3 linked regions of the Oreochromis niloticus genome follow. The protein of the gene in region 1 interacts with the protein of each later gene in a pairwise test. Links are inferred from orthologs where the notes say so. Each region holds a gene or a part of one and is shown on either strand. Other genes may lie near its edges.

Region 1 (3,755 bases):
TAGATTATCCAGAGGTGTTACTCACAGGTGAGGGTGAAATAGGAAGCACCATTTCCTTCATAACCAGCGCTCTGCTCTGGAACATTTCACCCTGTGTTTTAGAGAAGCCTATTATAAACCACAGAGGACTGACTGACACACGTAGCAACCCTTGTAGTCACGTCAGCGACTGTCACATGATTAGTGTTGTATTCTCTCTGAATGAAGGAGACGTGATCTAATCTGTGCTTTTAAGCTCTGAAACAGAACGGAGAGAGGGAGAGGCAAAAAAAAAGGGCATGTAAAGGATGACTTCAAACAAAGCTGTACGTTTCTTATTGTATTTTTATTCAGCTACTGACAAATTGAGATGAACAAACTGGTGATGTTTTCTAACTGCTGGAAGTTTATTGTATTTTTGGATGTTTGTTTTCTGTTTGGGAGTCATCTTAATTTATATTAAAAATGTCTCATAATTCCAACTTTTCGTTTTTTTGATTTTACAGCTCACACTTAACAGACACTGAACAAAGCACAGCGTTTACAGTTAGGATGCACAACAAGCATTATAATACATATGAGTGTTGAATGCTTCCTATTTACTTTTTGGGAGAGTATAGGAATTGCAAAGCTAATAATGCAATGAAACACTTGAGGAAGTTCAATTGGAGTCTTTCTCTGTTTAACAAGGACTGACTCAAATGCTTGAGAAGTTGTTGATATGAAATCTGTATCAAAACAATATTTAGCTCCAGAATCTGGAAAGATTTAAGGTTGATCCTGTAGTTTGAACCTTGTTTATCAAAGACCATGTTTTAATACCAACTTTAAAAATATATATTTAGTCGTTTTCTTGCTTTAGGACTTGGCATTGTGACCTCCCACATAATTCTGTACAAATCTCTACAGAGCCTTTTCTACCCAATACAATGCGGCACATCTGGCTTTAGATTTATAAAGTCTGCAGTGAAATTAAAGAAGTTGATGTAACATCCAGCTTGCATGAGAAGCTGTTTGAGGTTAGTTACCAGAACATCGGCACATTGCCAAAGGAGAAACCGGAATGAGCTCTGCAAAGGAAGAGATGTAATCTATTGCACACGCCTGCTGATGTGAGCGTCAACTATGAAGATAAAGGGTCACTAGTCCAAATGACAGCTTTCAGGAGTTGAGTCAACATTCATAATATATCTATCCCGGCTTTTTCCTTAATTTAACCTCCTGATCTAAATATTCATGTCATTCATTTGCAAGCCTTCTTTATCCTCGTTTATGTCCTCCTTGCTGGTTGAGGAGGACTCCCCATCTGCTGTGGGACAGTGCTCCTCCACATCCTCCTCCTTTGGGGGGCCCAACAACTGGGCTCTGAATTCCAGTCGAGCTTGCCGATTTGACTCCATCAGTTCGTGCAGTTTGCCATTAAGAGCGTCGTTACGCTCTTCCAGGTCATCGAGGTAAGAGTTGATCTGATCTAGCATGTTGTTGATGGCAGAGTACTCTGTGGATGAGCAGCACAGGTTAGTTTGCTTTGTTTGGCAATTTAGAGAGCAACGACTGAATAAAGAGTTTAACAGTTTTAGATCATATAAATTTATATTGTTATCAATGAAAGACACAATAATGCTATGAAAATGGACAGTTTTTGGCTTCAGTTACCTTTTTTTTTTTTTGTTTCTTTTAAATAAAAAATAACATCCCACCAATTTAACAGTCCATTATTCATCACCAAGGTTATTAAAGAAAATTAAAACTGAAAATGAGGCAGATGTGAAAACCAGTTTAGTTAACTGCACTTAAGAAAAAATGAAGGTCAACATTTATTTGACAACACAACCGCCACGAAGAGGCACTGGTGCGGGTGTTTAATCAGGCAGGGATGTTTACATGAAGTGATGTTGAGTGTAGTTACTGTGACACCTATTCAGAACATTTTCTGACTCTGTGCAGGTCTAAGCACAACCCATGATTCAACAGTTTTTAGGAAGCCCTTAAGCAGAAGTCACTGTTTTCTGTATGACCTTCTCAGTGTCCTACATTCTTTTGGAGGAACTTTGGCCCATGAATCTTTACAGTTGCTTCAATTCATTGAACATGGCTGCTAATTACCCCATCAATTCCTACTAAAGTATTAAGGATCGACTTGTCTTTTTTATTTAAAACTAAATCACGCCCACAAATACCTCCACACGTAATTAAAATTAACCTAAAAATCACTGGAGCGGCCCTGCTGCTCTAATGATTGTTAGCATTAGTTACAATGAAAGCTTTTGTTGTTTTACCTTCTTCGCCGAAATCATCTTCGTCGTTTATAATACCATCGTCAGCAGAGATGTTTGGATCTCCATTTGGTCCAGACATTGTTATATATATATACGTGTACTTAAGAAACAGTAGGAACCTTAAATATCGTCAGTTATGCTATTAAGCTAGCCAGCTAGCTCAGTAACATTACTAAACGCTCTTAATGTAATTGTAAGTAACAACAACAGCGCTCTCTGGGTTCTACTTTAGCTCTATTGTCAGATTTTAATTCACAGTATGCACGACATCTCAAACAACTAGCTTCCGATATTTGTTTACGGAACCAGGGAATTGTGGGAGAAATGTGGGCGTGGTTTTGGTTCCAAAGCGAGATGACTCACTCTGTCCACAGTCTCCAGTGACTAGTCGAGTAAAACAAATGTGCTAAACTAGCCATGCTAGGAAGATTTATAAAATAGTTTTATTTACTTTTACAGGTGTCTACTTTACTGGTTTATGAACTTTAATTCAAAGCTCACGCATGCGCTCATATGTCGGCTACTCTGTAGTTTTATGAAAACCAAGCAGAGTGGGCTGTCTGTCTTCCGTAATGCTCTCTGACCTGTCAGATGGTTGCAGTCAGCTGACTGGGCTCTGTCGTCACCTTAAGTCGATTAAGGTTTAGTTTCTTAAAGGTAGCAAAAAGGGGGAGGGGAGTATATCAAGGACCGTGTACATTATTTCTTGCAGACAATTGTCTGCGTTTGTTTAATCACACCGGTTGTTCGATAAAAGGATCGCCTGATGCCAAATGAGAGAGGTGAATGGCTAACTTCGTGTAAGATGGGTTTTACTTGATTTGATCGCTGGATGGCGCCAAGATCACACAACAGAGTCTGCGCAGTGAGCCCACGTGTTGGGAGCTTCCTTGTTGAAGCGTTGTCGTCGTCAACACGCTGAACGAGCTGTTTTGAAGTGTTTCTAAACTATGGATGAGTTACCTGCGGACCTCAGAGAGTTCCTCCTGAATCACCCCTTTCTTCAGCTCACAGGCGGTAAAAAGGTTAGCGAGCAGATTTCTCCACGTCACACGTGCACTTCGTGTGAGCTGATGTCGAACGTGATGCTAACCTGCAAATTGATCTAGCATGAGCCAGGTGTTCTGATGTTGTGATTGGTAAAGAGTGCTGACCAACAGCGGTGTGCAATACTGCCATTTATGGTGTCGATCAGGTAACAAGTTAATACAGAGCCAGTATCGCCGATACTTCGAACTTATAAAGGCAGCTTATCCCAGGGAGAGCAGTGTGTCATGATTTATGATGAGAATTATCATCAATTTAATACAATCAGCTACATACTGATCTTAGAGGATAGAAAGAAAGTATCGATCCTTTTGCACTAGTATCAGTCTGATGCCAGTACCAGTGTTGGTATCAATGCTAGCGATATTTGGATTGATCCACCGACCTCTACTGACCAAAACATTAACGCCAATAAAAACGCCCTATTTATACCTTCGATTTTGTACTTTT
Region 2 (3,755 bases), on another chromosome or scaffold:
TAGATTGAGATGACAAATATGGGGACAGACTTACTATTCCCCAAATCTTTTGCTTTCAACATCCTGTTGTCCCTGTAACCTGAGGACAGCAGCCTACCCCCTGGAGTGTTTGACCCTTAGATCCTATCACCTTTGTTTTCCCATTCTTTGATCTCAACACTCCTGATTTAAGACTCTAGATATTGTATCTTGTGCCTCTGTTTAACATTTACATATAAATCATCCTCTAGTGATAGTCGTCTCCTCCCTTCCTCTTGTGTAAACCACTACGAATGCCATGCCTCTTTGGTGGGTCAGAGTCGGCTCATCTTCCAGGACCCACTATCTGGGCTGGTATATGGCTAGTCCATTTCTTTGAGAGTTGATAAACTGTGTGTTAACTTATTGTGATGATAACCACCTTGATGTGATATCATGGGTATGCAGGCCACAGACAGGCAACTGGGACACAATGTCAGCAACCACAAGTACTCTGAGTTTGAAAAATGCTGCAGTCAGCCAATTAACATCAATCCCTTTCTACATCAGAGTATTTTAACTATACACTGCAGTGCCTGTTCATGAAGTATATTCAGCTACCAGTAAAGACATCCGTTTATGGAAGAACACTGTAATGAAAAGTATCATTTTTTCTATTTTACTCAGATTTTAAAATATTAGTTGCGGTCATTTTTAGAGGCTTTAACCTGTAAAAAGACTTTGGCCATAAAGATGTTTTCTTTCTAATCCTTAGTCTACTATCAAGAAAGGTGTGGACAAAATAGTAGAGAGATACCTTTAATATTAAACGAAAAGTCCCAGTCCGTTTGAATGGAGCCACTTATCTGTGTTTCTATGTTTTCCCACTGAACAAAAGTCAAAGCCCAGGTTTAGCTTATATACAAATATCCAGGACATAAAATAAAAGCAGGGAAATGAAACAAACTTCTGCCATTTGTCTTTTTCCCCTGTTGCTGTGAATGGACTGATGTAACGCATCATCATCGCAGAAAAATCACTTACTGTTTAAAATAGAGAATCGGCGACAAAATATGGACACAAAAAGCTGCTTACCAAATATTTAGTACGTGTTACCAGCGACTGTATGACTTCCTAGTTATCACATTTAAAACCACGAGAAGAATGTTCATTCAAGCGCAGAAACGCTTTCTTTCAACATCAGTTAGCTTCCCAGCTAATAACCCGGTGCCCAGCTCACATGCGGCACACGCAGGCTAAGCTGTTAGCCGGCTATCTGCCAGTTCCGATCGTTCCCCAGTCCCCGCCAAACGACATCTTCATAAAACAAACTCACCTGTGTCATAAGGTTACAGAACGACGCGCCTGAATGTTCCGTGCTGACTTTGTTTAAATGTCAGATTCGGTTTTCTTTCTGGTGTTTTGTTTTTTTTAATGAGTAACTCAGGCCCGCTAGCTCACATTCATGGGTGTGCTAATTTGTCGACCCGGAAAAGATCGTAGGGACCTTCCACACGCGCGCATGTGCGGAACGAGATTGGTTCTTTGGTCACATGACGCGGAGGGCCAGCTGATCATCGCCGACAAGATCACGACCGTCAACTCGATCTGCTCTTCTAATCCTACACGAAGAGCGAGATTTTAGCTGTTATATGTCTAGATTAATAATTCAGGATTCAAGCTAAAGTTGTAGTGTTGATTTAGGGAAGCGGGAGTGAACTGAAAATCGCAGTAATCGACAAAAAACGGAAAGATGTCTGGAAAAGACAGGATCGACATATTCCCCTCCAGAATGTAAGCAGCTTGTGCGATGGCTAGTTGCTAAAGCAATGTAGCTTCCTTAAAGCTCATATACCACTGTTTTGTTGACATATTTGCTTTTATATATGAAAGTTGTGGATAATTTTCTGCATGCATTTGAAAAGCAGGGATCGCCGTTTTGTTTTGTGCCAAGGTTACCGTTTAAAAGAGGAAGAATCCTTCTGCTGTCATGTGATATTTCTCACATTATCCAAGTGTGAGCTGTCAGTCGGAGCGACTTCATTTTAACCTAATTTCACCTGCATCCAGTTATATTAGATTTACGACCACTGAAACAGTATAACACAGAGGTTTGACCCTTTCATCAGCTCCTGGGTGCAAATATCAGTGAGCTGTGTATGTAGAGGAGTGGTGCAGATTGTGTTGATCCTTACCTTGTTTTAAAAATAACGCTATTACACAAATTACAGCATGTAACACCTTCTGTCCGTAGACTCTTGGTTCAGATAAGATCTCCTCCCGAAAAAAAATTCTGAAAATTCTGAAAATTTCTAAAATTCTGAAATGGTAAAAAACAGAAGAAATCTCAGGAAAATCAATGGGATCTCTCTTCCAGGATGGGAAGGGATTCAGCATAGAGCAACGTAGTAAATTTATATTAGAGACGATCAGGATGACATCGTTAACAATCTAACATGTAACAATCTGTGAGTAATGTGACACAAAAGTGGGCTTGAATGTTGATGGCTGTATGTTTTCGGCTGCTCCCTTATTCACAAAGAGGGCTCCACAGAGGATGGATCCCCATATTTATCTGGTCTTAATCCAGGGATCTCTAACCTTTACACTATGGAGCCATGTTAAATTCCAGCGCAGGCCTAAGGCAGCCTTATTGCATATGAGTCACCTGCTCAAGTCTGGAAAGAGCTGGGGAAAGATTGTGATTTGGAAATTTTTATTTAGCCTTTATTTAAATTGAAAGTTATCAGTCATGATAATTTAAATGAAAAGTCAATGAGCAGTCAATAACAAGTGAGTTACAACTACTTAGCTATTTAGCAGATAAAATTCAACTTGTCAGGAGCTCATTGTAAGGTCTCCCACCAGAACTACAACACATGGACTTATGCATTAGCTAGATGAAAGAGAAGAACAGATACTACTACTTATTCATTTTTTAAGGTAAGCCAGCAAATGGCCAGTTGAATTAGAACCCAGGCCTCCACACTATAGCCCTATAATATACAGGTTTGCCTGCTAAAACCAGTGAACCACACTGGTGCTCCAGAACAAACTACTACTCTTGACAATTAGCATTTAGTAGCCTGATAGAAGAGGGAACAGAGGAGTTTCAGTAGTGGTTTTTTTGTCTTCATGGGTGCATGATAGCCCTGCCCTGAGGGCATTGAAATAAACTCACTAGAGAGAATGTGGCCACCTTGACTAATAAGACCCTTTTCTTTCTGAACTACACATTTCTTTGGACTTGGTACTCTTGGAGTATACGTCTTTAATAATGTTTTTAAGGCTGTTCCTGTCCTTCAGAGATGACCCATTGAACCAGTATATGACATAAAATGATGAAATGTGGAAAATTAGAAGCAAATCCATTAAAAAAAAAAAAAAAGAGCTTTAACAAGCATAGAGGTCGAGAGAGAAAAGAGGAAAATCTGAAATGCCGGTTAAAAAAAAAAAAACTGGGGTGAGGGTATCAACTACCAGGGAAGAGAGACAGAGACCTTGGGATGGCCTAAGGTCTGAGTGAAAACATGACAAGGAGATGAAATGAATGAAACTTGGTTGTGTCATTTTACCCCTAATTTAACTGTCTGATTCAAATAGAGTGTTAAAAATATGTGGGTTTCTCTGGATTTGCAGGGCTCAGACCATCATGAAGGCTCGGCTGAAGGGAGCACAGACCGGCCGCAACCTGCTCAAGAAGAAGTCCGATGCCCTCTCCATGCGCTTCCGTCAGATCCTTCGCAAAATTATTGAAGTCAGTTTAACATGAGCCTTCATTTTTGGTCCTAATACAG
Region 3 (3,529 bases), on another chromosome or scaffold:
GAAAGATGATTTCAGCAGGCCAAAGATGGCCATCACATTCAGGTTTTCAGTGGGTGCTGGATCCAAACAACGGTCACAGCACGGGTTTATAAACAGAGCCACAAAAGCAAGTTAAAACTCTGACATGCAAAGAAAAGAAAACACACAAAGAAGATCCAAAAACTCTGATATGTTCTTGACGTCCAGCCTGGACAATGAAGTGAAATATAAAGCGGTTTTCTGACCACTCAGAATTTAAAATTCCTGATAGAAGTAATACTTCGCATCCTGTGAGCTAAAGAGAGAGATTTGTAGACCTAAAGTCAGCATCTCTGTGATGCAGAGCTATTAATCTGCACAGAATATCTAACTTGTCCATCTGTGAAGACACCACTAATGCTAAACAATGATGATGATGATGATGTAAAGTGCCCTGCCTGCAGACCAGACCTGTCACCCACTCGCGACAAATTCAAATCCAATTAAATTTTGGGTGTGAATAATTTTAAGATCACTGCACTTTACGTGACGATTGTAAACTGTAAGGTTTCCAACACAAGTCTTTTATAAGTTTATTTCATACAAATTTTATTATTTTGTCCACAACTCAACACAGCTGAAAAATATTGTAATATGACTTACAAGAGCCACTGCAAATCTTCATCTCATTTTATTGTTTTTTCTAAAACAAACCCCTCAGCTGCAGTCTGGAGATGAGATCACATGAGCCAAACCCCCCCAATATCAATGAAGGTTTAAAAAGAAAACAACAGAAACACTGTCGGATCCTTTTTTCCCACCAGAAGTCTCTAAAATGCTGCTATGAGACAAAATGCTTGTTGGCTTGAGAAATAACTTGCCAGTCTTAAACAATGAGCTGCCAGATCAGCTTCAAAAATATGAAATGTTTGTAATATCCTATGCTTAAAACACTGATGAACAGGACAAATATGTGGCCACTAATCATCTGCGTGGAAAATAGTGAAGAGGCACGTAAAATGTTTAAATAACACCAAAAAAAAGAAAAAAGAAGCACGTGCTGCTTCCCAAAAACTATGGAAAAAACGTCCCCAAGAAGCATCCTTTAATAACAATTCATTTTAAGTGCCCTTTAAAGCTTTGAGGAACTTCTTCAAGTCTTTTTTTTTTCTTCTCAGTTGCAAAAATACTTCTAGCAACAAAAATAATGGAAATAATCTTAAGGTACCTTTAATGGTAACTCTGAAACAGTCGTGGTAGAGTTTTATTTAGTTCACTACAACCATAAGCAGGCCAAGATTAGTGTTTTGGTTAAAACAAAATCCTATAGATACTTCATCTTGGCGCATTTTTGCATGTTATTGTGGGGTGTTTTTGTTTTCCTGTTTTTGCAACAAGAGCCTCCTAAACTCAGTTGGAAAAACAAAACAAAAACAGCTTAAGGACAAAAAACACTTTATGCAGCTAGGCAGTTTTGAGCATGTTCCTCGCCGGTGTCCCCTCAGTCTGTCCCGTCATAAATAAGTCAAACATGTGAGTCTGTGCAAACTACGAGTCTCATCTGAATGGATTCATGTGATCTTGGTTTGGCTGCAGACCAGAGGCGGACTGTGCATGTTTCAATGAGAATAGCAATAAGTTTATTACTATCAGCTACATCAACTAGCCAGCCTACAAAAAAAAATAAACACAAATAAAATAAAAATCAGCTCTACTTGTTGAAAATAAATTGTCATCGCTCTCAGTTTCGTAGAAATCGGGGCTGGATCTGCTGTCTCCTGCTCTCCGTCAGTCTGAGTCTGTGTAACGGCTCGTCTCCGGGGATGTTCACCCATCCCATCAGATTTTCTTCCGAACGTTAGCAGCCACCGTGTTGCCGTACAGCAGCCGGTCCCGTTCCCGCACTTCCTCCTGCAGCTTGGCCTCCGCCACCCGGAGCTGACGAATGGTCGCCTTCATCTCCTTCATCTTCACCTCCATGAGCGCGATGATGTCCCGCTGATCGTTCAGCTTCCTCAGCAGCTCGGCCGACGTGGTGCCGGTGGTCAGAGAGTACGAGTGGTCCAGCGGGCTGCTGGTCACGCTGACATACTGCACGGGTGCCGCCGCGGATGAGGTGTCCGCCTGGGAGTCGCCAGCCGTGACCTCGGCTGCACCGCCGACCTGCCCCGTGTAAGAAGTCCCCTCCGTTTGGACGGGCAGTCGCGCGGTGCCCAGGTACTCCCCGTTTTGGCCTATCTGCACCACGGTGATGCTGTCATCGCTCGCCTCCCCACCTGCGTTGGCCTCGGCTCCTTCTGCGGTGCTGCCCAGCACGGTACTGGTGACAACAATCCCGGAGGTCGCAGCTGCGGCGGGCGCGGGAACCGCCGCGGACACTTTCCTGCCTCTGCCCCGCCGACTTCTGCGCTCATTCACCCCTCGCAGAGGGAAGAGGGACGGCACTCGGATGCTGTAGGTTTTCCTCCCGCCGGCGAAATGCACGCTGCAGACTCGGTGCCCCGTAGTCGGCTGGAAGGTGCTGAAGCAGCCGCTGACCCCGGCCCGGGAGATGTTCCTCAGCCACTGCTCTCTGAGTGCGGTGTCCTTAGGAAACGTGTAGAAGCGCAATTCCCGGTCCCGGTGCGAGTTGTTGTAGCAGCCGGGGACACAGCAGGTGAACCCAGGCATATTTACTTCAGCGCCGAGGCTAAATCTGCGGCCTTCGGGTGAATTTAAGATTATTTTATTTTTGTTTCTTTATTCTATGCTATGTTATCAAGCTCGGCGGCCTGCAAGCGGAACTACACGTCCCACAACGCTAACAACTTCCTGTTTATTTTTTAGCAAAAGTGAGGCGCTCTCCTTCGTACGACGACTAAATACACCCGAGATTAGCCGGCCGCGGAGCACACGAAGCTCTTGCATATGCTGAATTCACGGCTGCTGTTTTATTTTCAACGGTAAATGTTTTGTCTAGTTCTTAGCTCTGTTATCAGGGTAATCGTCCCCCACTGAGAACTAAAAGTCCCACAATTCCTTGCGCTTCCTGTCCATAACCGTTAGTGATATAACGCCTCTGCTGGTCAGTGTGTGTAATGACACCGTTCGAGTAGGCGTGTGTGTAAAGAAAATACTATCAACGTGTTAAAAAAAAGCAAAAGAACTTAATTAATTATTGATCCTTTAAAACAAACGTATGTGCAATCAGAAATAGCCATGGAGAATAACACACGTTTTTAGATGGACCAATTTTATGAAATTCAAGGCTAATAATTTAATGTTCTGCTTTTTCTTTTGGCTTCTCCTTTTAGTTTTTGCTATAACAGATCATCTGCCTTTATTTCACCCTATCACTTTTATCCCCCTTAATCACACCATCAGCCACTGTCATCAGTAAATGTCATTTTGTGAAGTCACCGTCAATAATAGAAACAGTGTATCCCCACCAGTATAAATATCTAATCAGCTTACATCTAATAAGTATCCACAGAAGGTGTATTGTATTGAATCTTTATTTTGAACATGTTAAAATATAGGAAGAAGCATAATCTTATTTAATCCCACACCCTTTCCACTATTTAGTAATTAA

What was found.
Region 2: the proteins of bbln (region 1) and atp6v1d interact in binary tests that used the Homo sapiens proteins (3 or more experiments, as listed by UniProt). The two-hybrid records come from large-scale screens. The link is inferred for Oreochromis niloticus from reciprocal best matches to the Homo sapiens genes BBLN and ATP6V1D.
Region 3: the proteins of bbln (region 1) and thap11 interact in a two-hybrid assay, tested with the Homo sapiens proteins (2 studies listed by BioGRID and IntAct). The link is inferred for Oreochromis niloticus from reciprocal best matches to the Homo sapiens genes BBLN and THAP11.

The regions. Positions count from the first base shown.
Region 1 is NC_031972.2:20,471,795-20,475,549, forward strand, and holds bbln (bublin coiled-coil protein), read right to left. Parts: upstream 2,579-3,755; 5' UTR 2,338-2,578; coding exon 2,259-2,337; intron 1,478-2,258; coding exon 1,206-1,477; 3' UTR 564-1,205; downstream 1-563. Other genes in the region: surf2 (surfeit locus protein 2), read left to right, coding at 3,209-3,283. UniProt on the Homo sapiens protein: Essential for intermediate filament organization in intestinal cells, interacts with intermediate filament and regulates intestinal lumen morphology.
Region 2 is NC_031980.2:14,225,951-14,229,705, forward strand, and holds the start of atp6v1d (V-type proton ATPase subunit D), read left to right. Parts: upstream 1-1,516; 5' UTR 1,517-1,711; coding exon 1,712-1,752; intron 1,753-3,597; coding exon 3,598-3,715; intron 3,716-3,755. UniProt on the Homo sapiens protein: Subunit of the V1 complex of vacuolar(H+)-ATPase (V-ATPase), a multisubunit enzyme composed of a peripheral complex (V1) that hydrolyzes ATP and a membrane integral complex (V0) that translocates protons.
Region 3 is NC_031965.2:22,655,028-22,658,556, reverse strand, and holds thap11 (THAP domain-containing protein 11), read right to left. Parts: upstream 2,659-3,529; 5' UTR 2,629-2,658; coding exon 1,798-2,628; 3' UTR 648-1,797; downstream 1-647. UniProt on the Homo sapiens protein: Transcription factor, which has both transcriptional activation and repression activities. Also modulates chromatin accessibility.